4 linked regions of the Tamandua tetradactyla genome follow. The protein of the gene in region 2 interacts with the protein of the main gene of each other region in a pairwise test. Links are inferred from orthologs where the notes say so. Each region holds a gene or a part of one and is shown on either strand. Other genes may lie near its edges. The genes, in order: USP13, TRIM63, MYBPC3 and TNNI2.

Region 1 (7,801 bases), on a different chromosome or scaffold from region 2:
GTAAAATGTGCCCCACCTCAATCTGGGTGGATCTTACTCCTATTACTGGAGTCCTTTATAAGCAGAATGAAATTCAGACAGAAAGAGAGAGAAAAACCATGAAAATCAAGATACTGACAGCGGAGTCTGGAAGAGAAGGGACAGGCCACGAGAGGCCACCACGGGCACTGCCACGTGACAGGGAGCCCAGCGCCCAGGACCACTGGCAGCTGGCCCCAGAGTGCCAGTCTTGGAGAAGAAAGCATCACCTTGATGACACCTTCACTTGGACTTTTTTCCTTCCCTCAAAATCAGCAGCCATTAAATTCTCATTGCTTAAGCCAGCCCACTGCACGGGATTTACTCAAACAGCCGAGGAAACTAAAATATTACTCACTCATCTCAAAATAACTGCTATTGAGCACCAACATGCTAATCCCTAGAAGGTGGAAACAGAGGAAGGAGGGGAATACTGAAAAGAGTTATCACACTGTCGGCTCAATATTCAAAGCCCACAAAGGTGAAAAATGGCAAAAATGTGAACATGGTGCCTTAGACACAGTAGGTACATTGCAAAAAATCAGTGATACACAGTCTACCTCCATACCACCTTAAACCTACTACCCACACTAGCTTTCAATAACTGATACATAAAATTAAGATCCTTTTCCAGGTATGCAAGACACCCCATCATCTACTCTCCACTTCTTGTTTCTTGCCAAATCAATCTTTTTTCTTTCAAATACATTACAGGCAAATAACAAGAAAACATTCACATTTTATGCATTTGCACGTGTAAGTTTTCCCTGCCTGGAAGGTTGGGCTCCTTTATTTCTAGCCATCACTATCTATGATCTTCAAAAACATCCACTGCAAGAAAGTTGGGGGATTTTTCACTCAACTAGTCTCGATCTTTTCTCAACCAAAGTTCCACAGTCCCATAGCACTTGTGGAATAAAGTTTCTGGCATGTTTTGCACCAATGGATTTTGCTCTGTGAGGTTCTTATAACAACGCAGGTACAAACTGGCACAAAGCAGGGGCTCAAGACACCCTACTAGATTCCTGACAAAGTGTTAAGTACCACAAGGAAAGACCTTGCATTATCACGCACTGTGCTTTAAGCAAACTTGTTATAAAACCTTCCCTCTCTTCCTCCCTTAAAACATAAATAATGAAATATACTGATGCACTGGCTTTGTAAATAAATCCAGTCACCTCCAAGGAACTATTGTGATATGAGGGAAAATATTTTATATGAGACAAGATGATTCCAAAATAGTGTTTGACACATGGTAAGCACCAATAACTATTAGTGGAAATGAATTTTTTAAATTAGCGTTCTCTCACACCTGCCACACACTATGTGGTAAAGATTCCCAAAAAGAAAGTTTGTAAGCAGAACTTGAAAAGCCAACCAAACCAAATGTAGAGAAAGTAGTTTTGCTAATTTTACACACTGTGCTCTCCTGAACACTCAGTCCACTTTCTTCTTCCTGAAGTTCACAATTGGTCAATTGTTTAAGTTAGGTGGGACCATTATCCCTCTTCACCCTTAGGAGTTGCTGGTGGGAAGACACCCAACACTGGAAACAAAATCTCAAAGTGTCACTTTCATATACTTTGTTGATAACACGATTTAAAGGCACTGCTGACAGTTGTCTTATTAGTACCACCACTATATATTAAATACACAAGGCATTAAATACAACCATTTCACTTCATTCTACATGGATCTCTTTGAAAGAAAAAAATAATTAACAAAAGGTGAGATTTTATCACCAAATGATCTGGGATTCACATAAAAGAAAAGCTAAACATCACAGAAAGGATACTAATTCTGGGGTTCCAATATACCAAAGAAAATTGCTTGGAAACCAACCAGCACCAACTCACAAGATAATAAAGAATGCTTTGGAAAATGTGTCACTCATTTGTTTTTGCTTTTACTTTTTTTTTCCCCCTCCAATGAGGGGGAAATACATAATATGAATAAATGTGTTGAACTATCGTGAAGTCTCAGTCGTCGCAATCAATGCACCTCCAAACGCTCTGGGATCTGCTGGGCGACACATGAGATCTAAAGTGTGTGGATAAAAATAACCCGGTCCTCAAAAAGACATGAGAAACGCCAGACAGCTGAGTCACTTGGAAGCCCATTTTGACTTGTGAAAGGAGCATTCACCCTAGGTCTCATCACACTCACACGCGCACGCACGCGCGCGCGCACACACGCAGCTAAACCCACCGCCAAGCGCCCTGGGTAGCGGGCGGTGATCGAGCCTCACTTCCCTCCAGTCTCTGAGGTCACGACTTGGGATTGAACTTTTAATCATTGATATTTGTGCATATCAGTTCCAGCGGCCTCCTTTTTAAGGGGTGAGGGAAAGGCCTTAATGACCCATTCGACCCCGCAATTCTGCTGGAAAGGAGGTGTGGAGGGGAAGCGGGTAGTGGAGGCAGCCCCCGCTCCCGGGGTACCTCAGACCCGTCCCGGAGTGGGGAACCTTGGGCCAAGCGCCCCGTCCCAGACTCAGGGCAGGCTATGTCCGGGGTGGGGGTCAGTCTCTGCATCCACCACCCCCAATCCTCGCCTGAGGGCGCGTCCCCAGCAGCGGGAATCTCTCACGCAGCCAACCTCACTGGGCGGGCGAACTGCGGCGGGGACGCGGCCCGGGCCAGAGGAGGCGCCCGCTCGGTACTGGCCGAGCCGCGGGGCCCTAGCCCGGCCAGCGCGCGGAGGCGAAGGTCCCCGGCCGCCCCGCGCCCTGCTGCCGCCGCCTCCAGCACCACTGCCCCGGGCCCCGTGATCCTTCCACGTACCGGGGAGTCGTAGGAGAAGGCACACTCGTTCTTGTAGACCCGGTCCCCGGACCTGGGCACGCGAATCGTGGGCATATGGGGCACCAGCAGCTCGCCCAGGTCCCCCGCAGCCATCTTCCTGCCGCCCGGGATGCCGAGCAGGGCACCCCGCCGCTGCATGCTTGCGCCGAGCCGAGCTGGGTCTGCCCGCGCCGTGGAGCGGCCGGGCCCGGGCGGGCGGCCGGAGCGGAGCCGGGCGGGGAGGGCGGCGATGGGCGGGAGCGGGTACCCGGGCCTGGGGCGGGGAGTGGGGGGGACGCTGCTATTTTTACTCCAATGGCGGAGCGCCGGCCCCGCTGCGGCATCGGGCGGGGCGCGGGGTGGGGGGGCGCCGGCCGCAGCGCACCGGGGAGGGTGCGCGGGGGCCTGAGAGGGTCTCCGCTAGGCTGTGGGGGACAGAGAGGGACGGATGGGGACTAGGGGTCTGGTGGGGGGTGGAGGGCGTACCCAGAGCCTTGGCACGGAGGAGGAAGCTGGAGGGAGCCCCGGAAAGGAGACCGGGGGGCTGCGCCCCCCAACATCTCAGGGCCGATCGCGGTCTTCTCTGTCATAAACCTCAGGGTGACCGGGAATACCTCCGAGGCAGCCTCCACAAGGAGCGGCATCTGGGGGTCTTTGAAAAGGCTGATTTTCTAAACGGCCGAAAATAGGAGCCGGGTCTTGGTGGGCCTGGGTAGGGATGGAATTCGCTGTGACGATCCAGAGTCTAACGTAGCAGCCCAAATCCACATCTGCCTGGTGCACCTCGGTTTTGCCTCGCCAAGCATTGTTCTTCACTTAAAAAAAAATCCGAAGCTCAATAAAAGAGAATAGAATAAGATCTGATGAGAATAGAGGCATATTTTGCATTAATAGACGTTTTTCTTGCATTTTGGGGGGAGTGGTTTTTTGCAGGGCGAGAGAAGTTTTTAACTAAAATTTTCTCTACCTTTGGAACGTCTTACGCGCGTTTCAAGGTCCGGGTTTAGAACTTTAATGGCCAGATCTGGAGTCCTATGCAGAACAGTACATATAGAACTGCCTTGCTCTTTCCGTTTCCCAAAATAAATAATGAATGGGTTTGGACTGGGAGGTTAGATATTTGTGAACAGAACATACCACACAGCATGCTCTCATTTTCTTTAAAAAAAAAAAAAAAAAGACTTTAAACTATGGGTTCTATTCTGTAACTACACTCAACTTACATACAAAGCGGAATACTATTACTCTACCAGTGAACAAAATTCAGAAATAGCAAGAAATAAAGTACACCAAAACACTGATTTCTATAAGCCTGTCCCAGATCAGCTAGTCCTTAAATTCCTCTTTCCTTTACATCATTTTTCTTTTACTCTTCCTGACTCTCCAGATCTGTGGGTTTCCTAGGAAGAAAGAGTTACCTGGAGTTTAATAGTACATAGACAGGCCAGCTTTCTCTTGCCTTGCTCCCTGTTGCACTAGTATTATCCCATCTTTGCGCAGATACTCTGAACCAGCTTTTATTTTGAATTTATTCTCACCAGCATATTACCTTCTAATAGTATCAGCACCTGCTGCAAGTTCATGGATGAAGAGTGCTTATTCAATTACAGAAGAAAACTTGATTCAAAACATTCAAAACTTGAAGTTTAAAATACTTTGAGATTAAATGTAAATTAAACCAATGAGACACATTTTTCATCCTTCAGGCTGATAAAGATACACCAAGTTGGGAAATGTATCCATCCTCAAATACATCGATGGAAGGAGTGAAAATGGTAAATCTCTTTGGTAGGAAATTTAACAAGACCAATCATACTGTATGTGCATATACTATTTTCCCCGCAGTTCCTCATCGGGACATTTATTCCACAGGTAAACTCACACTGTGTAGGGGTATCTGTTGGTATTTGTTCATAGTAATGAAAGAATGGGAACAATGTAAAGAGCTACCTGTAAGACATGGGTAAAATACAGTACCATTGAACAGGATGAAGGCACTCTGAATGCACTGATATGCAGAATCTCTGGTTACATTATTAGGTGAGAAAAGAGAAGTGCAAATCAGTGTGTAAAAGCAAGATACGTGCCAGGCTGGGGATATGCAGAAGAGCCTCTGGTACATCTTCTATACCAGGGACCTTTCTTTCAATTGTACAATAAGTGAATTAAATTTAATTTAATATTTAATTAAATTAAATTAAAATTATAAACATTGGCCCCCGATGTGTGTGTGTGTGTGTGTGTGTGTGTGTGTGTGTGTGTGCACGAACCATGCTGTTTGGCCAGGAAGGATACACAAGAAACTAGTGCAGTCAGCCTCTGTGGAAAGGAATAGGAAGGCCAAGGTTAGAGGGGGACTTACTACCACTCTCCTTTCCTGTACTGTTTACATTTTTATCATGCACAAGTATCGCTTTGAAAAATGATTAAAACTCAATTGTAAAAATAATCCAAGTTCAATACCTAGTAATATTAATAGAAGCTGAAGACAATTGTAGCATCATTATTAAAGTGCTTATAATGGCAAGCATGGAAAATGGTGATATTTGTGCAGCTCTCGGGAGGATACTTCTTGAAGCTGGAGGCTATTCGTGTGCGAGTGTCAGTCACTGCAGGCCAGGCAGGGGACTGGAGTCTCATCACAGCTGAATCCCATCTCTGTGCAGCAGAACTCCAATTGCACAACAGTTGGAAAATTCTAGGGAAAAATGGACCCCGTCTACTCAAAGATGTTTCTACAAATCTTAGAAAATATCCTTATTAAAATTACCATTTTCATATATTTGTAGTATGTTAGTTTAAAAAGAAACTTGCACAATAGCATAGCAACTGGGTAAAGGTAAACACACATGTTGAGAAGTCTGAAAAGACATGTACATATTTAATAGTTAGATTTAGAATTTGGTTATAGGATTTTTTTTCTATATTCCAATGTCTTCAATAATGTTACATTTGTTTTATAATATAAAAATGTATCAAGGGCGAGCAACCATGGCTCAGAGGCAGAGTTCTCGCCTGCCATGCCGGAGACCTGGGTTCGATTCTCGGTGCCTGCCCATGCAAAAAAAATGTATCAAGACAAAAAAGTTAGTAAAAGAAATATCACAGAATTAAGAGATTAAGTCTTAATCATGACATGTTTAGAGAAAAAAATCCCATTCCAACTACTGAATATTTTTACTTAATTTTTTAAGTTGCACATATGATTTATAACCAGATATTTTACTACTGGAACGGTTTCTAATGTGGATCTTGATCAATGAGCAAAAGTGAAGTAAGGATCAGTGAACAATTTTAACTTCCAACATAAGTTTAAAGAGATTTCAGAGAGCCTAAGACTAAGAACTGCATTTTTGCCAGGTTGAGATGTCCAGGCCACCACATGCTTTACTGGCCAAAGCCTCCTCCCCTAGTGTGCAGACAGGAGCCCGTGCACTCGAGCACCTTTCCAGTCTAGTACTCAGCTGTCCTTCAGACCTTACCCTCTATCCCTACACTTCTGGTAAGCTTGATTTACTGTCCCCTAAGAATAGATATATTTGTCTCCTGATAAAGGCCTTTCAAAGCTTAGTATTTATGTACTTGAAACTGTGGTATACCCCAGAACCATGTTCTTTCATCCTGACTCAACATTATTTAGGGTGGGACACATTGATTAGGCTGTTTCACAGAGATGTGACCCACCCAGTTGGGGGTGGGACTTTTAGATTAGGTGGTTTGCATGGCAATACATCTCCACCCATTCAAGGTGGGGTTGCTTATTGAAGTCCTTTAAGAGGGAACCATTTTGGAAAGAGCTCAGAGTCAAGAGAGACAAGGACAATTTGGAGATGCTTGGAGTGCCAACAGAGAGAGCAGACACCTTGGCACAGATGTGTGGAGATGCAGAGCCCAGCAGACATCACCATGTGCCTTCCCATGATATGCTAAGCAAACCAGAAGCCAGAAGGATCTATAGGGGCTGAGTGATCATTTTGAAACCAGAAGCCAGGAAAGAATGCAGATGCCAGCCACGTGCCTTCCCCTGTGACATGTGGCCTTTCTTGACTCAAGGTATCTTTCTCTGGATGCCTTAATTTGGACATTTCTATGGCCTTAGAACTGTAAGCTTGCAACTTAATCAATTCCGTTTTTAAAAGCTGTTCTATTTCTGGTATATTGCATTCCAGCAGCATTTAGCAAACTAAAACAGTATTTTTTCCATTAACCCTCTTCTGACTGCTCCAACCCTCAGTGACCTATTGTTAAAAATTGCAGCCCCTCTTGCCTACACCAGTTTTGGGATACTGCCTCGTGACATCTTTTGTACTATATTTAATTAGTCTTGGTTCCATGTCTGATCCCTCTATCTGGAAAGCAAACTCTGGAAGAAGTTACATTTCTTGATGTGACTCATGAAACCTTGTACATTGGGGGATGCTCAGTGTTTAGGAATATTGCCTGCCTGGAGTGGCTGTGCTCTGTTTATTTTCAACGCTAAATAAGTACCAAATGAAGGACTCGCATCAGTGATCTTGTAATAGATATATTTTGCAACCTACTTTGTGTTTTTTAGGTAAAATTCATTGCTGCACAAATATTATTCCAAGAACTGATGGAGGTTAAATTAAAATATGACATGAATATGACTAAAGCCATGAAGGGGAATTTGAATAATGGGAAAACTCGAGCTCAGATTTCTTCCAATAATGTGCAGTGATCTGGTAAAGTCATATATGGTAATAGCTTATTGTGGAGGCAGATCCATAAAATTCTGTATAAGGGCAGATAGCCTCCGCATGTAAAACAATAAGGCATTGGTTAAGAAATGTATGGCATTTCCTGTTTGAAAGAGTTCTATAAAGCCTTTTAAAATCATGTGGTATAAGAATATGCATTGACATGGAAAAATGATCACTATAATACAAACTTCAAAAGCAGACTGTAAATGAGCATATATATACTATTATTCCATTTAAGCACAAATGCACATATATACATATTCATAGCATGGCAAAAAG
Region 2 (7,010 bases):
CTGTAAAATGGGGATAATAGGCATGCCCTACTCACGATGATTTTGAGGACTGGAAGAAATAATTCCAGGGAGCCCTCGATAGATGTCCAGTCACTTGCAAGTGCTAAATTAATAAAAAATAGTACTATCGTGATGATTTCCTTCCATGTCTCCCTTTTGCTTGCCAGGCCCAGACCATTCTCCCTCATACTTTGCCTGCCTCCCACCCAGTCTGGCCCCTGAGGGCACTACACCTTCCCCCACTAGCAGCACAGACTTTGGAGACAGTCCCAAATGAGATGCCTGTTATTTAGCTGGGGAACCTTCCAGAAGTTACTTAACCTCTCTGAATCTCAGTTCTGGATATGTAAAAATGAGAATCATAATGCCCCCAAATCACTCTGTGATTAATCAGTGGCGCAGAAGGAAGGAAGGGACCAATGAGACAAAAACAACAAATTGCCACGTGTAAGATCTTATCATTCTAATAAATGGTAATGATACTGACTCAGCTTTTGACTGGCTAGGAGCCCTTGACCAAGAGTCTCATCCCTTTGAGATTCTGTAACTCAGCTGAAAAACAGGGGAAATCATGGTCTCTGTCTCACTCAGTTATTTTGAGGATTGAGTGAGATGATGAATGCAAAGGGCTTAGCACAATGCCTGGCATGCAGTAAGCACTCAATAAATGTTTCAATGGGAGGAGCACAGGTTTAGGAGTCAGGCTACCTTGGATGTGAACCCTTTCTCAGCTCTGCCACTTGGGGCTGGGTGACCAGCCAAGCCAATGAACTCTCTGAACTTCATTTCCTCATGGGAAAATGGAGATCATAATACCTCCCCTACAGGACTGTTGTGAAGATTAAATGACAAGTCATGGCCTATGTGGGAATTTCCCTTCTCACCCCTTGACTTTCAGCACTGCTGGGCTTGCCAACCCCCAGGCTGGAGTTGAGCCCACTGTCCATTTGCTCAGCTTCTGTGTCTGGACTGCCAAGTGTGGGTGGGAAGTCAACAGAACCGTGCGAATGACTCCTCACAAATGACAAATCTGTGTTGGAAACATCAGCAAGGCTCTTCTGCTCCCAGACTTTCCTTCCACTGGTTTCTAGGGCACTTCCTCTTGTGTTTCCCACTGACCAGCCCAAACCTTTTCCGTCACCCTCTCATGCTGACATTCCTTCTGCGTCAGCATCAAGGAGTTGACCTCAACTCTCTTTTGACCAAGGTCATCATATAAAAGCACCTTTCTCTCCATTTCTCAACACCTCTGATTCTCTCCTCCACCGTTTCCTAGCTCCTTCCCAAGACTCTAGGATGTACTCCCTCAGCTCTCCTTCCCACTTTCCAGTGCTCTCTCTCTCCTCTGGCTCTACTATCTCCACCAAAAACCTTGTTCAAGTACTTAATTTCCCCCAAGCCTGACAGTGACCTTGCAATCCCTTTATTTAATTCATTCGTTCACTCATTCACTTGTTCATTCATTTAAGAATTATTTATTGAGAGCTGGGCCTTAAGGATACAAAGATGAACAAAGACAGTCTTTGCCTTCAAAATCTTCAAAGACGGGAGGGAGTGTCACACTTACAAACAGGTGATGGCAATATGACCAAGGAGACACAAAGATGGATCCCTGCCTGACCCATATTACTAGGTGTGCAATGGGGGGAAGGGGGAGCCCTAAGATCACTCCCAACTTCCTGGTTTGTGTAAATGGGTCGATGACAGCACAGCAAGACAGGAAAAACCGAAGGAGAAGCTAGGTGTGGGGGAAGATGATATGTTCTGTTTGGGATAGGGTGAATTTGAAGTGATCTTGAGACCCCATAGAGATCCTCAACATCTGCCGCTTTGAGGTGAGAGTAGTCCGGACTGGAATTAGAGATCTGAGAATCGCTGGCATTTTAGGAATTGGAAAGATAAATGCATATAGTATGCTTTTGGCTGCAGGCAACAGAATAATCACACTACAATGATGTGTTATTTCACATCGTTAACACCTTCAGAGTTGTATAAATGGGCAACACAACGGAAGGCACCTGTGACCCAGGTGCTTTCTTTAGCTCCTCTCTTCCATCCTCAGAGTGTTGATTTCTTTTTCCTTCAGGCTTGTCTCATCATGGTTGCAAGATAGCTGCTCCATCCTCTCACCACCCCATTCAAAGGCAAGAGGGAAGTTTTCTCCTTACACATTAATTTGTATCAAATCTTTTCCTTTATTCCCCCTCCCCCAGCAGACTTGACCTTGAGTCTCATTAGCATAGCTACCTGTATACCCTTAGGCAGAGGGGAATGGGATTACCATGTTAGGCATGAATCTTTCATGATTTGTCTCATATGGCAGTGGAGAGGCACGGTGCTGCCTGTGCGTGAACGGAACTTTCGTGAGCAAGGAAGAAGGGATGGTCTCTTCCCACCCTCATCATCCTTTGTCCCCCCGCTGGCCTGGCAGTGCTGAACCACAGTTCAGTGAAGACATGAGGCGCTTGAGCTCCTGTTCCCAATATATCCAGGTTCATGTCTTAAATCCACCTTCTGCTGGCCTTGTGACCTCATTCAAGTTACTGTACCTTTCTGTGCCCAAGTTTCTTCACCTGTGGAATAGGGTTTATAATGGTTCTTTGCGCTGTTGCCATTGAGATCTTAGAATGAAATAATACTCAGCAAAGTGCCTGACACATAGGAAGTGCTTGGCAATAACTAGCCATTAACGTTTTACGGGGACTACCCTTTCCTTAAAATTTTCTTGCTTTCTTTTAGGTCTCTTCTTCTTCCGACTGGGTTTTCTTCTTCTTCCTCTTTTCCTATCTTCTCTTTCTCTTTCCTGCCTCCTCCTCCTCCTCCTTGTCCCTCTCGTTTCTCCCTTTCTCAAGGTTGGTTCCTCTGCCCTCACCACTCTCTAGGTCTTATCTCCTGGTTCCAATCACCAAATCCTCTGGAGGCTGAGGTGAGTGAATCAACTCTGCTGAATCTCTCTCTTGAGACCCTGGACACACCCCCTGTAAGTTCCTCGACCTCTTAGGCTCTCATCTTGATACTCCACCCACACTCCCACCCCAGGATGGCTCCAGCATTGCTTTTCTCGAGGCGCTTCCCTAAAAAGAGACATTGGAACTGCTCAAATGACTTCTACCTGCCAACATGAAAGGTGTCCAGAAGGACAGGGAGAAAAATTAAAATTTGTGCAGAGAATAGAGGGGAGCATCTGAATCACTTCTAAATATCTAGGCAGGGACTTTGTGGCTAGCTCTCTTCCTAGGCTGTGAGCCTCACAGGTCAGGCAAAAGAATTACTCATCTGTCACCTTTACTAGTTAGCACCTGAGTAAGTGCTCAGACAAGTGTTTGCATGGATAAGGTTCTTCACTGCCACTTACTCTCTAAGTAACATTGAACAAGGCCCTTTCCATCCCTGGAGCCTAGTTTCACAATCTGAAAAATGAGAGGACTGAACTGCACCTTGAGGAAGCCCTTGTAGCATTAAAGCAGATTTGGCGGCCAAGGGATGGGGGGACTGGGAGAGTCATCAAAGTCTCCAGTAAAATGCGATGCTCAGGTCGAAGGCAGAGGGATGGGCTCAGAAAGAGGGCTTGCCCTGACCCTCATCTTGGGAGCTGCCCAAGACTCTAGAGGAGGGTCTGGACCTGATGTGTATCAGAAGGTCACTCTCCTGTCCTTGGGGGGGGGGGGCCATCGGCCATTAACCCCTCAAATCCCAGTGGCCCACTGGATGGGTCCCATCCCTAGTCACCATCCCGGAGTTGGGGGTGGGGCGACCAATTCCTGGATGAGACACTGGGTCCCCAGTCCTCCCGGAAGCCAGCCCCTGAACAGGCTGTTCTTGTTTACGACCCCCATCCCAGGGGACAAAGATTGCTCATCCCCACACGTGATATGAGAAGGCGAGCTTCTCAGGCCTGGAGGAAATTCAAGCCCCGCCAGCAGCCTGGCATGGGGATGCTCAGCTGGTCTTCTCCCGGGGCTCATGTGACTGGGGCCCAGCTATAAATATCAGAGGGGCTCGGACCAAGGCAGAACACGGGCGCCGGAGGAAGGAGGCAGAGGGGCTCCGGGTGGGTGTTTTGTGACAAAGGCCAGGGCTCCAGGTCTGCCTGGGGTGAGGTGCGGGTGAAGGAGGCAGCCAAGTGGGCTCCCACATCACCGACGACATGGATTATAAGTCAAACCTGATCCAGGATGGGAACCCGATGGAGAACTTGGAGAAGCAGCTGATCTGTCCCATCTGCCTGGAGATGTTTACCAAGCCGGTGGTCATCTTGCCGTGTCAGCACAACCTGTGCCGGAAATGTGCCAATGACATCTTCCAGGTCAGTGCCGGCCGCTCGGCTTCTTTGTGATAAAACACTTTCTCCCTTCGACCAGGACCGAGGCTGGTTCCTGCCTCTCGAAAATGAGTCTTCTGGCTCTTTCTTCCCCAAAATGAGGCCCCCCCGCCATGTCGGCCTGGGTGGGGCGGGGTGGGGAGGCAGCTCTTGCTGCCCGGGTCCTTCTCCGGGACGTCTGCTTCTCCTCCCCACCTCTGCCCTGAGCGTGGCAATTGACTCTCCACTCAAGAGTCAAATGCCTCAAGTGATAAGTCGGGGAGGCAGGCAGAGAAGAGAGAGAAAACAGACCCCTGGGGCTGGAGCCAGGCCTGCGGTGGCAGGGGGCCCAGAGCCTTGGGAGGAGGGGCGTGAGGGGGCACTGGGCACTAGAGCATCTTCTCTTTTGAGGCTGTTCCTTATAATATGAAGGTGGGGGAGGCCGGGGGGGGCGCTCTGTTTCCCTAAAGAAGGAATGGAAGTAGACGTCCTGCTTGGGGGGCAGGATTCTGGGTTCCCCAGGAGCACTTTGCAAAATGCCCTCTCACCGTTTTATCTTCAAAGTAGAAGCCATAGGGGCTTGTTCTACTGATTATGCCCATTTCATGAATGGTCCAACTGAGGCTTAGAGAGATAAGGTTGCTTGGCCAAAAATTACTCAGAGAATAGATGAGGCTTGAACCCAGTTCTGTGGATTCCCAAAGCCAATGCTTACCTATTGATTGCTCAGCTGCTTCTTAGATGATCCGTCTGTAAGATGGGCTGGTTCTCATCTCAGGGTGGGTTTGGCAGGGATGACTGGGGTGGGCGAAGGGGGAGGGGAACAGGAGATGAGTTAGGGAAGGGGCTGGGAAGGCGCCCAGGCCCACCTCCACCTTGCCATCTGCAGGCCGCAAATCCCTACTGGACTGGCCGGGGCAGCTCAGTGTCCATGTCCGGAGGCCGGTTCCGCTGTCCCTCCTGCCGCCACGAGGTGGTCATGGACCGCCACGGAGTCTACGGTCTGCAGAGGAATCTGCTCGTGGAGAACATCATCGACATCTACAAGCAGGAGTGTTCCAGGTCAGCTCTCCGGGCTACTGGGATCCCGCCCTCCTTTCCCAGCCATGCCGGGCACAGCTCGCCCAGGCTCCTTCCTCCTCCATCAGCTGGGACCTAAGCCAGTCCAAAGGGCCATTTCCCTCAGGCTGAAGGACAGAGGCCCATGCCCCAGCTCAGTGATGGGGAGGGGTCAGGCTGCCTTGCAGGAGAGACTGAGAGAGAAACCAGGGGAAAGATGAGAGGTGACAAGGAATGACAGGCATTGGGACCTGCAAAATAACCCAAATAAGCAGAGAAAAAGTGTCCGGTGAGAAGGCAGCCAGATTCTCCCTCCTGATAGCAGCAGCCACCCTTGGATGCCCTCACTGGGCACCAGGCATGCCACACCTTGGGGCCTCACCACAGTTTTATGCACCAGGCGCAGCGTTCATTATTCCCATTGCACAGATGAGGAAGCTGAGGCTCAGAGAGTTGAAGTCATCTCCCCAAGGTCATGCTTCCAATTCATGGCTAGGCATTGGAAGAGCTAGGAGTGGGCCTGGGCCATAGAGCGCTGAGTCTCCCTGTTTATAAAACAACAGCCCAGTCTCAGGCACAATTTGTCCGTGAACAGAGGAGGACGTGTGGTGTTAGGCTTCAAGCTGGAGCGATCTTTACAAATCAGGACATCCTGACGAGTTTCCAGGTTGCTGACCTGCTGCCATTATGGTCTAAAACCTTTACTGAGCACCTGCCTGAGGGCAGGACCTTCCCCGATGGAGGGGGACAAAGCAGGCCCAGTGAGGAAAGGCCCTGGCCTGGGCACTGTGTTTGTAGGCTGACTTGAAACTAACACACTGTAGGATCTCGGGTAAGTCACTGGCTTTTAGGGCTTTGTTTCTCTTTGTCTGCAGAAGGGGACAATAAGACCTACTATTGTGATTATCAAATAGGAAAACAATAGGAAAGGTAAAAAATATATATATATCAAATATTTATTATTTGATTTATAAATAAAATTATTTACTAAGCACCTACTCGGTGTGGGCACCATACTTTATGTACATGGCATTCTTACCTCTATTTTATGATGAGGAGATGGAGGCTCAGAGAGGTGCAGAGGTTTTTCAAGGTCACATAGCTAGTAAGGGTTTAAGTTGAGAGAAAGCCTGGATTGATTGACTCCTAGCCCTCTGCTAGATGGGCTCTCATGGTGATAGAGCATGACCCTAAAAATATAAGCAGACTGTTGATAAAACCACTATCATGCCAAAATACTACTTAGTGGCTAACTATGAAGGACACACTGTTCTTGACCCCTTCAAGACCTTCCTGCACAGTTATATGACAGTGAGAGCTGCCGTCCATTGAGGGTCTGCTCTGTGCCAGGCATGACCCATTCGTTATAAACAACTCCTGCCATGATCCCAATAGAGAGGTGAAATCACTGGTCTGAGACAGATAAGCGGCAGAACACTCTGGATTTGAACCCAGATGCTGAAGCCTGGGCATCTGGGATGGTGGTGGGCACAAGGCACCACATGCACAGGACCTGTGCCTCCTCTCAGCCATCCCAGTGCTCCCTTCCCCAGGGACAGAAACAGATGGCAAAGGGAGATCCTTCTCAGCATGGGAGACCTGGGCTCAAGATGCAGAAAGACAAGGTATGCAAAGGGGCTTATTGAAGAAC
Region 3 (7,854 bases), on a different chromosome or scaffold from region 2:
CGGCGGCCAGGAGGTTTCTCCCCACCCCCCACCCAACCTCTGCACGCTGCGCACAGGAGAAAGGGGGTCCCACTCGGGGGCCAGCAGGGCGGGCGGTCAGGGGCCCGGGCTCCAGGCCGCACCCCCGTGGGCTCCCGCCTCTCGCTTACCTCGTGCCTGTGGTGACGGACGTTCTGCTGGATCCCTGAGGGCCCCTTGAGCCCTGCCCCCCACCCCCCAGGGCTGTGTTCTGGGCTCTCCACACCGTCCTGTCCCCCCGCCATCCCCTGCACCCCTGCCCCCAGCCACCCCCCTGTCCTGCAGCCCGTGCCCCTCCCCAGGCCACCCCTGTGCCAGGCCCACCTTGCTGGCGCGGTCATAGCTGTCGCGTAGCTGCAGGTGCTGGCCCACCTTGCTGCTCAGGTCCACCCACTTGCCCTTGAACCACTTGACCACAGGTGGTTTCAGGAGGCTGGCCCCAGCCACGCGGGCTGAGAAGGTGATGCTGCCGCCTGCGGGGAGGGGGCCCAGCTGCCGTGGGGGGCCCGGCGGGCATGGGGGCGTCTGGCTGCCTCCCTCCCCGCCACACCCTTGGGTGCAGCTGCCCAGCACTCACCCGCGGTCACCTCACCATCCTGAGGCCGCATCACAAACAGGCCAATGGGGTCATCGGGGGTGCTGGGGCATCCAGGGGCAGGGCTCTCGGGGGCAGCCGAACTTGACCCTGTGAGCAGAGGCCTCTGGGACCTGCCCTGGGACATCCTGCAGCCGGTCCTGCCCTCCCTGCAGCCCCCTCACCTTCAGGCCTTGCAGAGCTTCCTTCCGGCTCAGCAGCCGGGGCCAATGCCCCCCCCGGGGCTCCCGGGGCCTCAGTAGCAGCTGGGGCGATCTCTGCCGTCTCTGGAGGGGAGCAAGTGGGGAGCAGCTCCTAGCCAGAGACCACCCCACACCCTTCGGCCCTGCCCCAGTCTCTGCAGGCTCCTCCAGAGTAGACAGGGCTTCATCTGTCCCTCCCCTTTCCTCCTTCCCCTCCATGACACTTCTCACCCCTTGCTAGCTCCCTCCCCTCCTCTCTCCTCCCGTCCTCTCCTCCTCCTCCCCTCCTCCTCCCCCTTTTCCTCCTCCCCTCCTCCCCTCCTCCTCCCCCTTTTCCTCCTCCCCTCCTCCCCTCCTCCTCCCCCTTTTCCTCCTCCCCTCCTCCCCTCCTCCTCCCCCTCTCCTATCCTCCCCTCCTCCCGAGCACCAGGCCAGGCCTCTCCTGCAGATGATGTCCCATGCTGGGCTCCTGTCCCTGCTGCGTCATCTGGGGGGGGGGGGCGGGGAGCTGCCGGCCCCTGGCTTCCCTTGCCGTTGTCTACCCTCACCCACTGCAGGTCTGCCCTGAGCAGCTCCGGGGTCCGTCTGTCCCTTCCTTCCCTCATGAGGCTGCAGCCTCATCCAGCTCCCTAGCTGGAAGCTCCACCACAGGCTACCAGGGGCTTCCCTGCTGGCCTGAGGCCGGTTCCCATGGGGCCCCCAGAGGCGGCTTGTGCCCTTGTGCCTGGTCCTCCCTGCAGTGGGTCCTCCCCCGGGGGCATGCCCAAGCCAGGAGCCCTGGGGTGCTCAGAGCGGCTGGGCCACAGAGAACAGGGGCCCGCACCCTGCAGGGGGGAGGTGGCACTGCCCTTGTGCCGGGAGGTCGACCTCAGGGACGGGTCTGCCCTTACCCGCCTCTGTGACCTTGAGGTCAAACTTGACCTTGGAGGAGCCGGCGATGACCGTGTAAGGGCCCTGGTCGGCGGGACCCACGTCCCGCACTGCCAGCGTGTGCTTCGTGCCCTCGGTGGCCAGGCTGTACTTGTCGCCCGTGCTGATGTCACTGCCTGCCCGCTGCCAGCGCACTTTCAGGCCCGCCCGCTCTGTCTCGGCCTCGAACACGGCAGTGCCGCCCGCAGCCACCTCCGCTGACTGGGGCTTCTTGCTGAAGGCCGAGGCTGAGGCCCAGACGGGGCTGAGGGACGCCCGGACCCCCCCCCCCCCCCACCGGCCCCCACCAAGCCTGGGGAGAGGCCCTGGGCACGCGTCCCCCCATTTAATGCTCCTTCAGCTCCAGGAGGGGGGCAGCGCTTAGGTCCCTTTCCCAGATGAGGACATGAGGCTCAGAGGGGTTAAGGGGCTTGCCCAAGGTTACACAGCCAGTAGGCGGGAGAGCTGGGGGTGTGGTCTGGACCCCCCACAGGCCAGTCTGGGTCCCCAGGCAGGGGCAGGTGCTCAGGCTGCTTGGAGTATGGCTAAATTTATCCTCCAAGGGCCTGGGGCTGAGAGTCAGCAACTGAGATAAAAAGTTGGCCTGGGGTGGGGAGGGGTGGGACACAGGGTGCCTGCCCCAGTGCCCTTGGTGGGGGCACAGGCCGGGACCAGGACCTGGGAGGTTGGGGGCCCTGTTCTACCCTCAGCCGGGGGCTCCTGGGGCCCCATGACCATCAGCCCAGAGTGGGGGCCATGCCCAGTGTGGAGGTCACAGGGCTGCAGAGGGAACTGCTTAGCTGGAAGGAGGCTTGCGGGCCTCCGCCCATCCCCTCCTTGTCCAGATGGGAAAACTGAGACCCAGAGAAGGGGGGAACCCTCCCGCCCGCAGCAGCCTTTCCCACCAGGCCAGGCCTCCCTCCTGAAAAAGGTCCCAGATGGGGGAGGGCACCCTGGGACTCAACTCCCCTCTCTGTGCTCCAGCCCTGGGTCCAGCCTCACCGTCCCCTGAAGCAGGAAGGGACCTGAGCCTCAGGAAGGGGCCCGAGGCCTGTCGAGTGTTGCATTCCCCACCTCCTCGGGAGCCAGCTCCTAGCCCTGCCCCCCAAATGCAGACACCCCACCCTCCCTGCACCCCACTCGAGCCCAACCCCGGCCTGGAGCTACCTGGCTTCTTCCCTGGTTCCGGCATCTTGGGAGCGACCACAGCAGGCACCGAACAGTCCCAGGCTGTTCGCAGAGGGATGGCGGGCAGCCCCCGCTATATAACGGCCCCGTCACACTCCCTCCCCCGGTCTCCTTATCAGCCTCCGAGCAGCCTCCCGCTAAATATAGACAAATTCCAGGGAGCCCAGGTCTCTCTCGGGGTGGAGAGGGCAGTGGGAGGGTCTGGGCCATTGTTCCTTTCCTCTTCCCCTCCCCCAACACAAATAGGACAGCTTCTGTACCCCAATCCTCAGTGCCCTCAGGGGTACCCAAGCCCAGTCTGTGTGACTATCTGACAGGCAAATTGAAGGTGGAAAGTGGGCTGGACCTTAACCCTGAGGCCGGCAGGTGGCTGTGTGACTTGCCAGGCAGTGAGGGGCCGGGTGGGACAGTGGGGGGCCAGGTGGGACAGTGGGGGGACCGGGCGGGACAGTGGGGTCTGGGTGGGGCAGTGGCAGGGGTGGGGGGAGGGGGTCTGGATGGGGCAGTACCAGACCAGATGGGGCAATGTGGGGCCGGGTGGGGTAGTGGGGGGGCAGTTGGGGGCTGGATGGGGCAGTGGGGGCCAGTGGGGGACCGGGTGGGACCGGGCGGGGCCGCACTGGGCTTTGTGGGGCAGTGGGTTGGGTTGCCCATGGCTGGCACGTGCCCTGAGGTGGGCAGCCCCCGAGCCTGGCTCTGCAGTCCCCAGCCTGATGCCCGTCTGCTTCACCTGTAAAGCGGGGCTGGATTGCCAGCCGGTGTGGGCAGCTCCTCCGGTTGGGAGATTGGAGATGAAGGTGCCCGCAAGGCACTGGGCTGGAGAGGGGGCAACACTGCAGGCGGGTGAGGCCGGGGCGACTCTCTGAGTTGAGCTGAGCCCCTGGGTGTCCCCAATCTGTGGTCCACCCTCCAACGGGGCCCCCAACCCTACTCCACGCGGAGAGAGGCGTGTCCCACGTGACTCATCCAAGCGAGACCGGGGACCAGAGAGCAGCCCCCGCGTGGGGGCGGGTACGTGAGGTGTGGGGGTGCTGCAGGTGGCCGGGCTGCTCCTGCCCGTGGGCAGCCACCTTCGGCCCCCCGCGTTGGGGGCCTGCCCTGACTTGGGGGCTGAGCAGAGCGGCCCTCTAGGGGCCCGGGGCCGGGGGGCCCTGTCGCTGCCGGGCCTGCCCGTTGTGGCCTGTGACCCCCTGGTGGGGGCGCTGGGTGGGGCGCGGGGAGCTGCCACCCGCGCCCTGGGGGGCCTGTTGGGCGCTGCAGCTGGGATGGGCCCCCCCGAGGCTGTGTGGGGGGGGAAAAGTCGGGAAAGCCCAGGCGGCCGGAGACATGCGCCGGCCAGGTCGGGGGGCTTTGCGACCCCCAGCGGCGGGAGGAGCCCCGGGGGCGGAAGGGACGGGCCGCCGAGCGCCATGTTGTCCACGCGGCCGGGGAGGCCCCGCCGCCGCCTTCCTGGGCGTCCCCGCGGCTGCGAGCTGAGCGGGAGCCGGAGCCGGAGCCGCCCCACGGCCGCCAACCCGGCGCCTCCTGTCCGGGGCCCGGGGTTCCAGCATGGCCGCCCGCTGGCAGCGTGATCTTGGCCGAAGCATCTGATCTCTGCCTGCCTCCGTTTCTCCCACTGCGCGGTGCGGCCTCATCAGCATCCGCCTCACACCATGGAAAGTGCAGCGACGCTGCGGCCATCGTCACCCGGGTGACGGGCTCCAGCCCCCGAGGGCTGCTAACCACGACTCATACAGTAGGGAGCGAGGGCTCCTGCTTCCCAGTAGGCACGCCCGGGCCTGGGTTCCGCCCCACGCCGGGCCCCAGGGGGCCCCCTATCCCCCAGGCCTGGACCCCCGGGCCCCAGTGGGCCCCCTATCCCCCAGGCCTGGTCCCCCCGGGCCCCAGGGGGCCCCCTCCCCCCAGGCCTGGACCCCCGGGCCCCAGGGGGCCCCCTCCCCCCAGGCCTGGTCCCCCAGGGCCCCAGTGGGCCCCCTCCCCCCAGGCCTGGACCCCCCGGGCCCCAGTGAGCCCCCTATCCCCCAGGCCTGGACCCCCGGGCCCCAGGGGGCCCCCTCCCCCCAGGCCTGGACCCCCGGGCCCCAGGGGGCCCCCTCCCCCCAGGCCTGGTCCCCCAGGGCCCCAGTGGGCCCCCTCCCCCCAGGCCTGGACCCCCCGGGCCCCAGTGAGCCCCCTATCCACCAGGCCTGGACCCCCGGGCCCCAGGGGGCCCCCTCCCCCCAGGCCTGGACCCCCCGGGCCCCAGTGAGCCCCCTATCCCCCAGGCCTGGACCCCCGGGCCCCAGTGGGCCCCCTCCCCCGAGGCCTGGTCCCCCACCTCCCCCCCCCCCCCCCCCACCCCGGGCCCGGCGGCGCACAGGACGCTGAGGCGGGCGAGGCGGCGGCGGGCTTTATAACAACGCTGCGCGGGGCTGGCTGAGAGTCCCGGCGGTCACTCGCGAGCCCTGCGGGGGCAGGTGGGCAGCCCGGGGGGGCTTCGAAGGGACCATTCGGTGTCCACGGGGCCGAGGCGGGGCCGCCCGATCCCGCGCCCGGGGCTGGTCCCGGCGGGCGGGGCGGGCGGGGCGGGGCCGGGGGGCTGCCGGGGCCCGCGCCCCTCCCCGTGTCCGGCGGGCGAGGGGTTAATGCTGTGGCCGGGGCGGCGGGCGGCCGCGCTCAGTGCGGGGGATGGCGGCGCTCGGCCAGGCCGCGGCCCAGCACCTCGCCGCTGAACTGGTAGGTGAGCTTCTTCTTGACCTTCTTCACCTCCCCGGTCTTGCCGTAGTTGCGCAGCGCGCGCGCCATCTTCTGGTACGTCATCTTCTTGCGGTTGCCCTTCTGCACGCCCCAGCGGTTGGCCAGCTCCTCCTTGTGCTTGGACGAGAACTGGAAGGTGCCCTTGTCCTTGTCCACCCACCAGATGCTGTCCTTCATGTCGCCGCTGCGCAGCAGGTCCAGCAGGAACTGGTACAGGCGAATCTTCTTCTTGCTGCCTGCGGGGAGCAGCGCGGGCGGGCTGGGGGGCCGGGCCCGGGACCCTCCGCCCCTCCCCCCTGCCGGCCCCCTGGGGTAGGACGGGGCGCGCCCCCCCCCGCGGGTTCAGCCCACACACACAGCACAGACGCGCATGCATGCTCACACACACACACTCGCGCGCGCACACACGGCCCATGAGGACACGCTGGGAACTTGTGGGGACCCCTTGGCACATATCACATGCCGCCTCCCCTCCACCCCCCAGGCACCGTGCCCCTCGGCCTGCTGGACCTACCTGTCTCCCCGTGCAGGAGGCCAGGCCCTGGCTCCAGGCCATCAGCCTCCCCGTCGGATACCTCCAGTGGGGGGCTCTGCCGCTCACCCTCCTCCTCATCGGAGCTGGGCTGGGCCGGCGAAAGGGAGGGGTATGGGAGGCACATCCGGGGCAGGTAGGAGACCTGGGCAAGTGAGGGCAAGTGGGCTGAGGTCGGTAAGGGGCAGTTCAGAGATCAGGGCTGTGGGCAGCACTGAGGCTGGGTGGTCAGCAGAGGGCAGAAAGACTAAGGGGAGGCAGGGAAAGCTGGACGTCGCTCAGGTCAGCAGAGGCGACCAGGCCCCCCATGCACAGGGGTGCAGACTGTGCACTGCACAAGGGCGTGCAGGTCCTCGGCACTCACCAAGCTGAGCTTCCTGCTGAGTGGATGAGCGGGTTCCAGGGGCTGGGAGCAGGAGGGCTCAGGGGCCAGTGGGTTGGGTTAGGACTGGACAGACTTTAGTAAGTGGCGGGAAGAGTGAGTGAAGGACGCAGTGAGGTCAGCGAAGGCTTGTAGGGGTCAGTAGAGGTTACTGATGGGGACAGAGTCCATGGGGCCAAGTAGGGTCATCAAAGGGGTCAGTGTGGAAAGTAAAGGGTGAGGAGAGCCCAGCACTCAGCACCCTGGACACCACACCCTTGGGGGCGCCCATCGATGGAGGCTGCTGGCTGGGAGGGGCAGAGCCATGGGGACTGCCTGGAGCCTGGCCACCCGTGGGCCGAGAGCTGATGAGGGGTGTGGGATCGCCAGGCCGGCCGGAGGGTCCCAAGGCCGCTGGGGGGGGGGGGGGGGCAAGAAGCAGTGTGGGGCACGAGCGCGCCGGCTCCTGTGTGCCCTTGGCCTGGGCGGGGCAGAGCTGCGCACCTGGTGGCTGAGAGTGGCATGGGGCGGGGCCATGGGCGCGTCCAGCACGTGCATCTGCTCCAGCTCCATGTGGCGGTAGAGCTGCTGCAGCTGGGGGGGCTGCACGCTCTGCAGCTCCGTGAAGTGGTTCTCGGGGAAGCTCTCGAACTCGCTGTGCACATGGTGGGGGTGGAAGTCCCAGTAATGGTCTGCGGGGGGCAGCAGGGGGCGCAGTGAGGCCGGGGCGGGGGTGGGGGTGGGGGTGGAGGCAGCGATAATGAGACACAGTGCCACGCGGGGCCCTCACGGGGCCAGGCCGGGCGACGCGCCTGCCTGCCGACCTCACTCAGCGTACACCCCATCTTGGGAAGTGGGCGCCCCGCTTCATAGATGACCTGAGGCCTGGGGAGGCCGCAGAACGTGCCCAAGGGGCCCAGGTCCGAGGCCTATTGCCCACATGGCTGCAGGGGCGCAGACTCGGGCCCCCCGCTGGCCTGCTGGGGTGGCTGACCCTCCTAGGACATGGGGCTAGCGGTTACTGGAGGATGTGCATGAACTCGCGCCTGTGGAAACTTCCAGCAGGGACCCGGCCACTGCCTGCCCTCGCCTGGTGCTGCCCACCATCCCGAGCTGCTTGCCGTCCACAGGCGCAGGGGCGTGTGGCCTCCTCCCGTGGCTGGGGTGGGCCATGGCGGTGCCCGGGCGCCAGCGAGGTCCCTGGGATGTGAGTCCTTCCTGGAAATTCCCCTGCAGCGGTGCTTCCGGCCTGTGGCGGAGTGGCTTAGGGCTGGAGCCACATGCCATGTCCTCTCGTGATGAGGGCAGGGCCTGAACGTGGGTTTCTGGGCAC
Region 4 (7,441 bases), on a different chromosome or scaffold from region 2:
CTGGGGGCATTGACGTGGCTGCCGGCCTCTGACTGCATCCCGGGGGAGCAGCCTGGGGGCAGGGGGCTGGGGACCCTGTATCGTGGGAGCGTGTGGCCATCTCCCGCCCAGCTGGGGCCTCCTGGGGCTGTGCCCTGTGGCAATGGACAGGGCAAATGGACAAAGGGCTCACCTGGGGAAGCCCGCCGGGTACACGCCACCAGCCCCTCCCATGGCTACCTTGCCGAGGACACGGTGGACACGGCCTGAAGGGGTCCCCCTGCAGCTCGGTGCAGCCAGGGGCAGGCTCCACCTGCAGGGTCTTCCTGGGCGCCCCTGGACCCGGCGGCTTGTCCAGTCCCAGCCCACATGGGGGGGCCTCCCTGGCGTGGCACTGCCCCGTGCTCAGATCAGCGTCTGACGCCTGCCCAGGCCTGACACCCAGGGCGCCAGGCTGAGGAGTCAGGGCCGGCAAGGGTGCCCTGAGGGCAGGCGGGGACTGTGGGCAGCGAGGGACCAGCCATGGGTTCGCATCCTTTATTGACTTTTGGGGTGATACCCCTGCCACTCCGTGGGCGCCGCAGGCCCCTGCCCGCCGTGTGCCCGGGGAGCGGGGTGGAGACAGGGGGCCTAGGACTCTGTCTCGAACATCTTCTTCCTGCCCTCCATGCCCGACTTCTCCTCGATGTTCTTCCTCCAGTCGCCCACGTCACGCAGGTCCCGCTCCTGGGGGCGACGGGGGGCGACTCAGGACCCCACCCCACGGGGGGCTCAGCCAGCAGGGGCCAGGCAGGGTGAGAGGGAGGAGTGAGGTCCAGGTGAGACGGGGTCAGCCCCAGGTGGGGGGGATCAGTCCCAGGTGGGGGGGATCAGCCCCAGGTGAGAGGAGGTCAGTCCCAGGTGAGAGGGGTCAGTCCCAGGTGAGAGGGGTCAGTCCCAGGTGGAAGGATCAGCCCCAGGTGAGAGGGGTCAGCCCCAGGTGAGAGGAGGTCAGCCCCAGGTGAGAGGGGTCAGTCCCAGGTGGGGGGGGATCAGCCCCAGGTGAGAGGACGTCAGTCCCAGGTGAGAGGGGGTCAGCCCCAGGTGAGAGGGGTCAGCCCCAGGTGAGAGGGGTCAGTCCCAGGTGAGAGGGGTCAGCCCCAGGTGAGAGGGGGTCAGCTCCAGGTGAGAGGGGGTCAGCCCCAGGTGGAAGGATCAGCCCCAGGTGAGAGGAGTCAGCCCCAGGTGAGAGGGGGTCAGCCCCAGGTGGGAAGGGGTCAGCCCCAGGTGAGAGGAGGTCAGCCCCAGGTGAGAGGGGGTCAGTCCCAGGTGAGAGGGGGTCAGTCCCAGGTGAGAGGGGGTCAGCTCCAGGTGAGAGGGGGTCAGCCCCAGGTGGGAAGGGGTCAGCCCCAGGTGAGAGGAGGTCAGCCCCAGGTGAGAGGGGGTCAGTCCCAGGTGAGAGGGGGTCAGTCCCAGGTGAGAGGGGGTCAGCTCCAGGTGAGAGGGGGTCAGCCCCAGGTGGAAGGATCAGCCCCAGGTGAGAGGAGTCAGCCCCAGGTGAGAGGGGGTCAGCCCCAGGTGGGAAGGGGTCAGCCCCAGGTGAGAGGAGGTCAGCCCCAGGTGAGAGGGGGTCAGCCCCAGGTGAGAGGAGGTCAGCCCCAGGTGAGAGGGGATCAGTCCCAGGTGAGAGGGGGTCAGCCCCAAGTGGGAGGGGTCAGCCCCAGGTGAGAGGAGGTCAGCCCCAGGTGAGAGGGGTCAGCCCCAGGTGAGAGGGGTCAGCCCCAGGTGGGAGGGGTCAGCCCCAGGTGAGAGGGGGTCAGCTCCAGGTGGGAGGGGGTCAGCCCCAGGTGAGAGGGGTCAGCCCCAGGTGAGAGGCCTGGGCCCCGGCGGCGCCGGCGGACGCACCTTCTCGGTGTCCTCCTTCTTGACCTGCTTCAGGTTAGCCCGCAGGTCCATGCACACCTTGTGCTTTGAACCCAGCAGGGCCTTGAGCATGGCGTCGGCCGACATGCGCACGCGCCGCAGTGGGGGCCTCTTGAACTTGCCGCGCAGGTCAAACAGCTTCTGGTTCATGTCCTCCAGCTGCGGGGGGCGGGGGGAGCTGAGTCCAGCGCCCCGTGACCCCCCGCCCCCGCCCCTGCCCCTGCCCGCGCCTCACCTCCTTGGTGCTCTTTTGGACCCTCATCTCCATGTCGTACTTCTCCTCCTCGGCGGCGTCGATCTTGGCGTGCAGCTGTTTGCAGAGCTCCTGGGGTGGGAGACCAGGGGGTGGGCCCTGACCCTGGCCCTGACCGGCCCCAGCCTCTGGCCACCTGCTTGGCGCTGCCCCTTGGCAGGTGGGGAAACCGAGGCAGTGGGCCGGAAGGTGGTGGCGGCGCGGGGCTGGGCGCGGGGCGGGGTACCTGCACTTCGGACATGGAGCCGGGGATGTGCAGGGAGGGGCAGTGCTCGGCCAGGTAGTTCTGCTTCTCGGTCTCCCGGCGGCCCTCCTCCTTCTCCAGCTCCGTGGCGGCGATCTGCAGCATGACGCTCTGCGGGGTGGGGTGGGGGGCGCCGTGAGGGCTGCAGTCCCTCCCGCAGGCCCCGGCCCCCTCCCCAAGCCCACTCTTACCTTCAGGTGCTGCCTCCTGGCCGTGATGGCCCTGTTGCGTTTCTGTGGGGGGTCAGGGGGCGGGAAGCAGGGTCAGGGGCTCCATGGGGGGCCGGCTGAGCTGGAGGACCAGCCAGGACCTCCAGGGCACAGGCCTGGCCTGCTGACCCCGTCTAGGACGGACAGCCAGGTCCTAAGAACTTGGGGGGTGGGGGTGGGAAAGGCAGGTGAGGCACAGGGGAGGGGTGACCCTTGCAGGGCCTGGGGGGGTGCGATTCCTTCTGAGAAGCCGGGCCACAGCCCCCACTTTCCCTGCCCAGGAAGGCCCAGGCTGCCACTTCCTCTGTCCCGTCAGGGCCGGTGGGGGGAGGCTGGCTTCGTCTCTGTGCATCAAAGACTTGAAGCTCTGACCTCTGACCTCCACGGAGTTGGGGTCCCAGCGCCCCCCCACCTCTCACTCCCCTTCTCCAACCAGGTACTCACCTCCTCACTGTCCGGCGAGGTCGGGGTAAGAGAAGGAGAGGAGAGAAGGGAAAGATCGGGTCAGGCCAGGCCGGTGGGGAGCAGGAGAGGGTGGGCTGGGAGAGGGTGGGGTGGGCAGGGGTAGCTGCTGGGGAGATGCAGAGACCCCACCCCCGGGCATCGCGCTGGGCACCCCACTTACTCCCCCATCCTGAGATCGTGAGCTCAGATCCTGTGTGGAGAGAAAGGCAGGGGTGTCAGGCCACAAGGGTACAGCCGCCAGGCCAGCAGTGAGGGGGTGCCGCTGCCCCCCTTCCCACCCCGTGCTCCCCCTCCTCGCTCCCTCTGCAGAGGGGGATGTCTTGGAATTCCCCGGGGTGGGGGGTAAGAGGAGAAAGTGCTCCCGAGATGCCCAGGGCAGGGCCTGGAGGAGCTGCAGCTGTCTCCGAGGGGGGTGTGGCGGGGGCACCCGGGGGGGGGGCCAGCACAGGTGGCCGCCGAGCAACAGATATTTTTAACCCCGCTTCCTTGGCTACCGGCCGAAGTACAAGAAACTTGCTCCCCGATTCAGCTTGGGGGCCCAGCTCTTGGGGTCCCTCGACCCTCAAAACCAGTGTCCCCAGAAGTGAGATCAGACCACCAGGGGCTGCCCGGACCCCTGCCCCGCCCCGCCAGCATCCCCAGGTGTCTCTTCCCCCTGCGTCCCACTCTGTGGGAGCCCCCTGAGGGGCTGCTGGCCGCGGCCCCCAGGCCCCCACCCAGGGCGTCCTCCTGCAGGCCCGCCTGAGTGCCGCCCGCGGCCTGGCCTGACCGGCCGGGCAGGGCCTCACCGAGAGCCTGTGCTGCAGAGCTGGGAGCAAGGTCTGGCGGTGGCGAGTGGGCTGGGGGGCCGGGGAGGGTATAAATGGCCTCCCCCCAGCCAGGCCCCCGCTCGGAAAGGGCATGTAGCTGCCCCAGGCCAATGGGGACAGAGAGAGCCGGCGCGCGGCCCCCCAGCTGCCCGGGCCGCGGGCTGGCCACGTGCTGCCACCCCATCCAAGAAGTCTTGGTGGGGGGAGCCGAGGCGAGCAGAGCTATTTAGGGCCCAGTGACGAGTCCGAGGAGCCTTCGCTGTTCTCCAAGGAGCCTGGGGACACGGCGCACGTGGCTTTGCTGGCCACCTCGCCGAGGCTGGACACACGTGGGGCCGCACAGCCTCGCCCCAAGTCAGCCCTGTCCACCCTCACTCGGGGTCCCGATCACACTTTGCCCCATGGCCTCTGTCCGGCCCATGGCAGGGGACTCCCGGTGGCGTGTTGTCCTGGGGGGCCCGCCCCCCAAAGCCTGGGCCCTCAATGGGTTATGTTCCACCACAGCCCACCGAGCCCCGCAGCACAGCTGGCCGGCGACCCCTTCTCCAAGCCCAGCTCCCAGGCTGGACCCCCAAACGCGGCCTCGGGCCTGGGGCCCCGGCGGGGGGCTGATATCACCTGCCCGCCCTGGGAGCAGGGGCCAGGCCCCCAGACATGCCTGCTGAGCCCCCTCCCCAGCCGTGCTCGGTACGCCCAGCCTCGGCCCCACACCTGGGCGGCTCGGGACACGTCCTCCGAGCCTGGGAGCACGGGGAACCTCTCCCTGACCCCGGGGCCCGCGCCACCGCCCCCCGCCTGCGTGACTTGGCACCGTCTGCGCGCTGCGGCGCGGCCCGCCCTGCCGGCTCGGGGCTTCTGGGGCGTAGGCAGGATCCGAGGCGGCGGGCGCAGGAGGCTCTGCAAACCCTAAAGCTTCCAGATGTGCGGGATTAGGAGGCCTCGGCCCCCGGGCCCCCGCGCCGCTTCCGAAGGCCTCTACTGCCCCCTGCTGCCTGCGCGGGGCCCAGGCGCCTGGGTGGGGGGGCCCTCCCTCCGCCACCACCCCCCACCGCCGCCGCCGCCCCCTTGTCCCCGCGTCTTCGCGGCATCCCACCCCCTCCCAGGGCCGTGCCTGCCTCTCCAGACCCTGCAGACATGCCCGGAAGGGGCAGAGAAGGGTCTGGGGACTTTGCGGCCCCCACCCCAGGGTCAGGCCTGAGATAGAAGCCCCAGGGCAGACTCAGCCTGGAAGGGAGAACCTCCCTGCCCTTGGGAGGGGGCTGTTCTTGCAGGGAGCCCCCTCCTCAATTCTGTATTGTCCCCCAGGGCTCAGGAAGGACAGGCAGTGGAGGCAGCCGGAGATGGCGTTTATTCGACCAGGTCCGCCAGGCCTGGCAGGGGAAACTGAGGCTTGGGTGCTCTCAGGAGCGGGGCAAGGGGAGGCGCCCGCGGGGCCTCAGGCCGAGGACCCGGTCTACCTCGCTGGGGGGCCGCAGGCGGTGCCACTGGGTGCTGGGGCGCCGGGCGTGGGCCAGCATGTCGGCCCAGTGTTGCAGGGGCTGGCCGGAGGCACGGGCACCCAGCAGCACTTTCCCCACGGGCTCGGTCCGGAGCTGCGGGCCACGGGCGCACACGGCCAGCACCAAGTCCACGCCCTGTGAGGAGGCGGCCATCAGCTCGGCCCGGGCCGTGGCCCCCGCCCGCCCGCCTCCCCGGGGCCCACCTGGAGCTGGGCGACGGGCACGCGGAAGGCAAAGGCCTCATTGAAGTAGGGGGCGGCCGTGGCCCTCCTGGCGGACGTTCTCCGCTTCTTCCAGGGCCTCTGGTTCAGCAGCAGCTGGACCTTCACATAGGGCGCTGGGCGGGCACGGAGGGGCGGGGGGCACTGGGTCAGAAGCTGGCGCAGGGTGCTGGGGCCTCTGCCCACCCCACGGGCTGCACGGGCCTCACCTGCCAGCCCCGGGCCCAGGCCGCGGGCCTCCAGCACCAGCACGGTCAGCCGGCCCGCGCTGGGCACGTACCTCAGCGAGAAGCACAGCTCGCCGCTCGGCTCCGGCTGCCAGGGGCACGAGGGGGTCTCAGCGCGGGGGGCTCCACCGCGCGGCCCGGGCCCCCTGCCTGCTCTGCCTCCCCCGGGCCCCCGTGGCCTCACCTCGACGGTGCCCGGTGGGCCCAGCTCGTGCCAGCGCTCCAGGACGTGCCGCAGGTCCACCGAGGCCAGGGGCAGGCGCAGCTCGGCCAGCGGCGTGTGCGCGGAGAAGCGCCGGGAGGCCAGGAGCTGCACCAGCAGCACGGTCCGGGGCAGCGCGGTCGGAGGGACCTGCGGGGCCGGTGCGGGGGGTCAGCGGGGTTCCCTGCCCGGGCCTGGCCGCTGCCCCCGCCGGCCGCGCCCCACCTGGAAGCTGCAGGTCTCTTCGAACACCGGGCTGAGCGTGCCTCGGTGCACACGCGTCTCGTGGCTGGGGCCAGCCGGGGGGCACAGGCTGACGCGAGCGTAGGGGTCAGCCGTGTGGCCGGAGCCTGGGGCCTGCAGGCCAGTCGCCTGCTTCAGGCCCACCCTGACCTGGGAGAAACGGGGGGGTCTCAGCGGAGGTGCCCCCTGCCCCAGCCCGCCCTCCCCAACCGCCAGCAGTGTGGCAGAGTGGGCCCTCACCTCCTGGCTCGCAGGCTGGTACTCCAGGGACAGCTGCAGGCGCCCCCACTGCTGGAGGCCCCCCAGGCCGGGCTCTAGGCCATCCACATCTGGCTGCACCTGGGTTGGGGAGCGGGGCAGGAGCAGGGGCAACCGAGTCTGCTGAGACACTGCCCCTGTCCAGTCCCAGACTCCAAGGTAGCAGCTCCCCCGTGCGGTTCGAGGCACCCCCCCACACACCACCACAGGGCACCATCAGGGCTCACTGCCGCACCTCAGCTCCGGGAGACCAGCCAGAACGGATGGATCTGCCCCAAACAGGGCTCCGGTTGCACCACTACCTCCCTCAAGAACCTGCCATGGCTCCCCATGGCCCACAGACCAGCTCCCGGTTCCAGTGCCCAGGGCCCTCGGGCTCTGCCCCAGCCGCCTTCCCGGTTCTCCCCTCCCCTTGGCGCACCTACTTCTGCCCGCTGACCCGCCCCCAGCCTGAGCCCTGCCAACCAGGCAGCTGGCTGGCACCGGCCGGGCACACAGCGCTCCTCACCGCGTGGGCAGTGGTGGCACCCCTGGCACTGCCCAGGCTCACAGTCTCCTTGTCTCTGGACTTTGTCCTGGGGCGGCAGCAGCGACAGATGACACAGAGGAGGCAGGAGACGATGAGGACGCCGGCAGCCCCAGCAATGGCAGCGAGCACCCAGGAGGGCCCTGGGGAGTGCAGAGAGGGCCTGAGCTGCCCCCACAGACGGTCACCCCCCTACGCCCGGCCATCCCCTGCCCCTCTGGGGTCCCAGGACTCACAGGGGATCCAGGGGACGAGGGCTGGAACGGACCCGGGCAAAGCTGTGGTGTGAGCTGGGGGCAGGGTGCCGGGGGAATCGGGTGGGGGTGCCATCTTCCTGCCCTCCTGGCCTGGAGGAGTCAGCCCAAGAGCCGGGGTCACCTATGTGGCTGCCCCCTCAGGGCCCT

The links.
Region 1: the proteins of TRIM63 (region 2) and USP13 interact in a two-hybrid assay, tested with the Homo sapiens proteins (2 studies listed by BioGRID and IntAct). The link is inferred for Tamandua tetradactyla from reciprocal best matches to the Homo sapiens genes TRIM63 and USP13.
Region 3: the proteins of TRIM63 (region 2) and MYBPC3 interact in a two-hybrid assay, tested with the Homo sapiens proteins (2 studies listed by BioGRID and IntAct). The link is inferred for Tamandua tetradactyla from reciprocal best matches to the Homo sapiens genes TRIM63 and MYBPC3.
Region 4: the proteins of TRIM63 (region 2) and TNNI2 interact in a two-hybrid assay, tested with the Homo sapiens proteins (2 studies listed by BioGRID and IntAct). The link is inferred for Tamandua tetradactyla from reciprocal best matches to the Homo sapiens genes TRIM63 and TNNI2.

Annotation. Positions count from the first base shown.
Region 1 is NC_135331.1:78,118,560-78,126,360, reverse strand, and holds the start of USP13 (ubiquitin carboxyl-terminal hydrolase 13), read right to left. Parts: upstream 3,010-7,801; 5' UTR 2,961-3,009; coding exon 2,802-2,960; intron 1-2,801. UniProt on the Homo sapiens protein: Deubiquitinase that mediates deubiquitination of target proteins such as BECN1, MITF, SKP2 and USP10 and is involved in various processes such as autophagy, endoplasmic reticulum-associated degradation (ERAD), cell cycle progression or DNA damage response.
Region 2 is NC_135328.1:200,139,004-200,146,013, forward strand, and holds the start of TRIM63 (E3 ubiquitin-protein ligase TRIM63), read left to right. Parts: upstream 1-4,008; 5' UTR 4,009-4,147; coding exon 4,148-4,306; intron 4,307-5,189; coding exon 5,190-5,362; intron 5,363-7,010. UniProt on the Homo sapiens protein: E3 ubiquitin ligase. Mediates the ubiquitination and subsequent proteasomal degradation of CKM, GMEB1 and HIBADH.
Region 3 is NC_135334.1:124,087,191-124,095,044, forward strand, and holds the start of MYBPC3 (myosin-binding protein C, cardiac-type), read right to left. Parts: upstream 3,009-7,854; 5' UTR 2,897-3,008; coding exon 2,872-2,896; intron 1,953-2,871; coding exon 1,686-1,952; intron 880-1,685; coding exon 778-879; intron 704-777; coding exon 596-703; intron 492-595; coding exon 343-491; intron 1-342. Other genes in the region: SPI1 (transcription factor PU.1), read right to left, coding at 5,548-5,864, 6,143-6,305, 7,026-7,213. UniProt on the Homo sapiens protein: Thick filament-associated protein located in the crossbridge region of vertebrate striated muscle a bands. In vitro it binds MHC, F-actin and native thin filaments, and modifies the activity of actin-activated myosin ATPase.
Region 4 is NC_135335.1:1,875,150-1,882,590, reverse strand, and holds TNNI2 (troponin I, fast skeletal muscle), read right to left. Parts: upstream 2,702-7,441; 5' UTR 2,570-2,701; intron 2,490-2,569; 5' UTR 2,484-2,489; coding exon 2,361-2,483; intron 2,207-2,360; coding exon 2,117-2,206; intron 2,041-2,116; coding exon 1,864-2,040; intron 706-1,863; coding exon 610-705; 3' UTR 503-609; downstream 1-502. Other genes in the region: SYT8 (synaptotagmin-8), read right to left, coding at 5,262-5,495, 5,564-5,697, 5,791-5,896, 5,993-6,160, 6,236-6,403, 6,494-6,592, 7,020-7,180, 7,274-7,367. UniProt on the Homo sapiens protein: Troponin I is the inhibitory subunit of troponin, the thin filament regulatory complex which confers calcium-sensitivity to striated muscle actomyosin ATPase activity.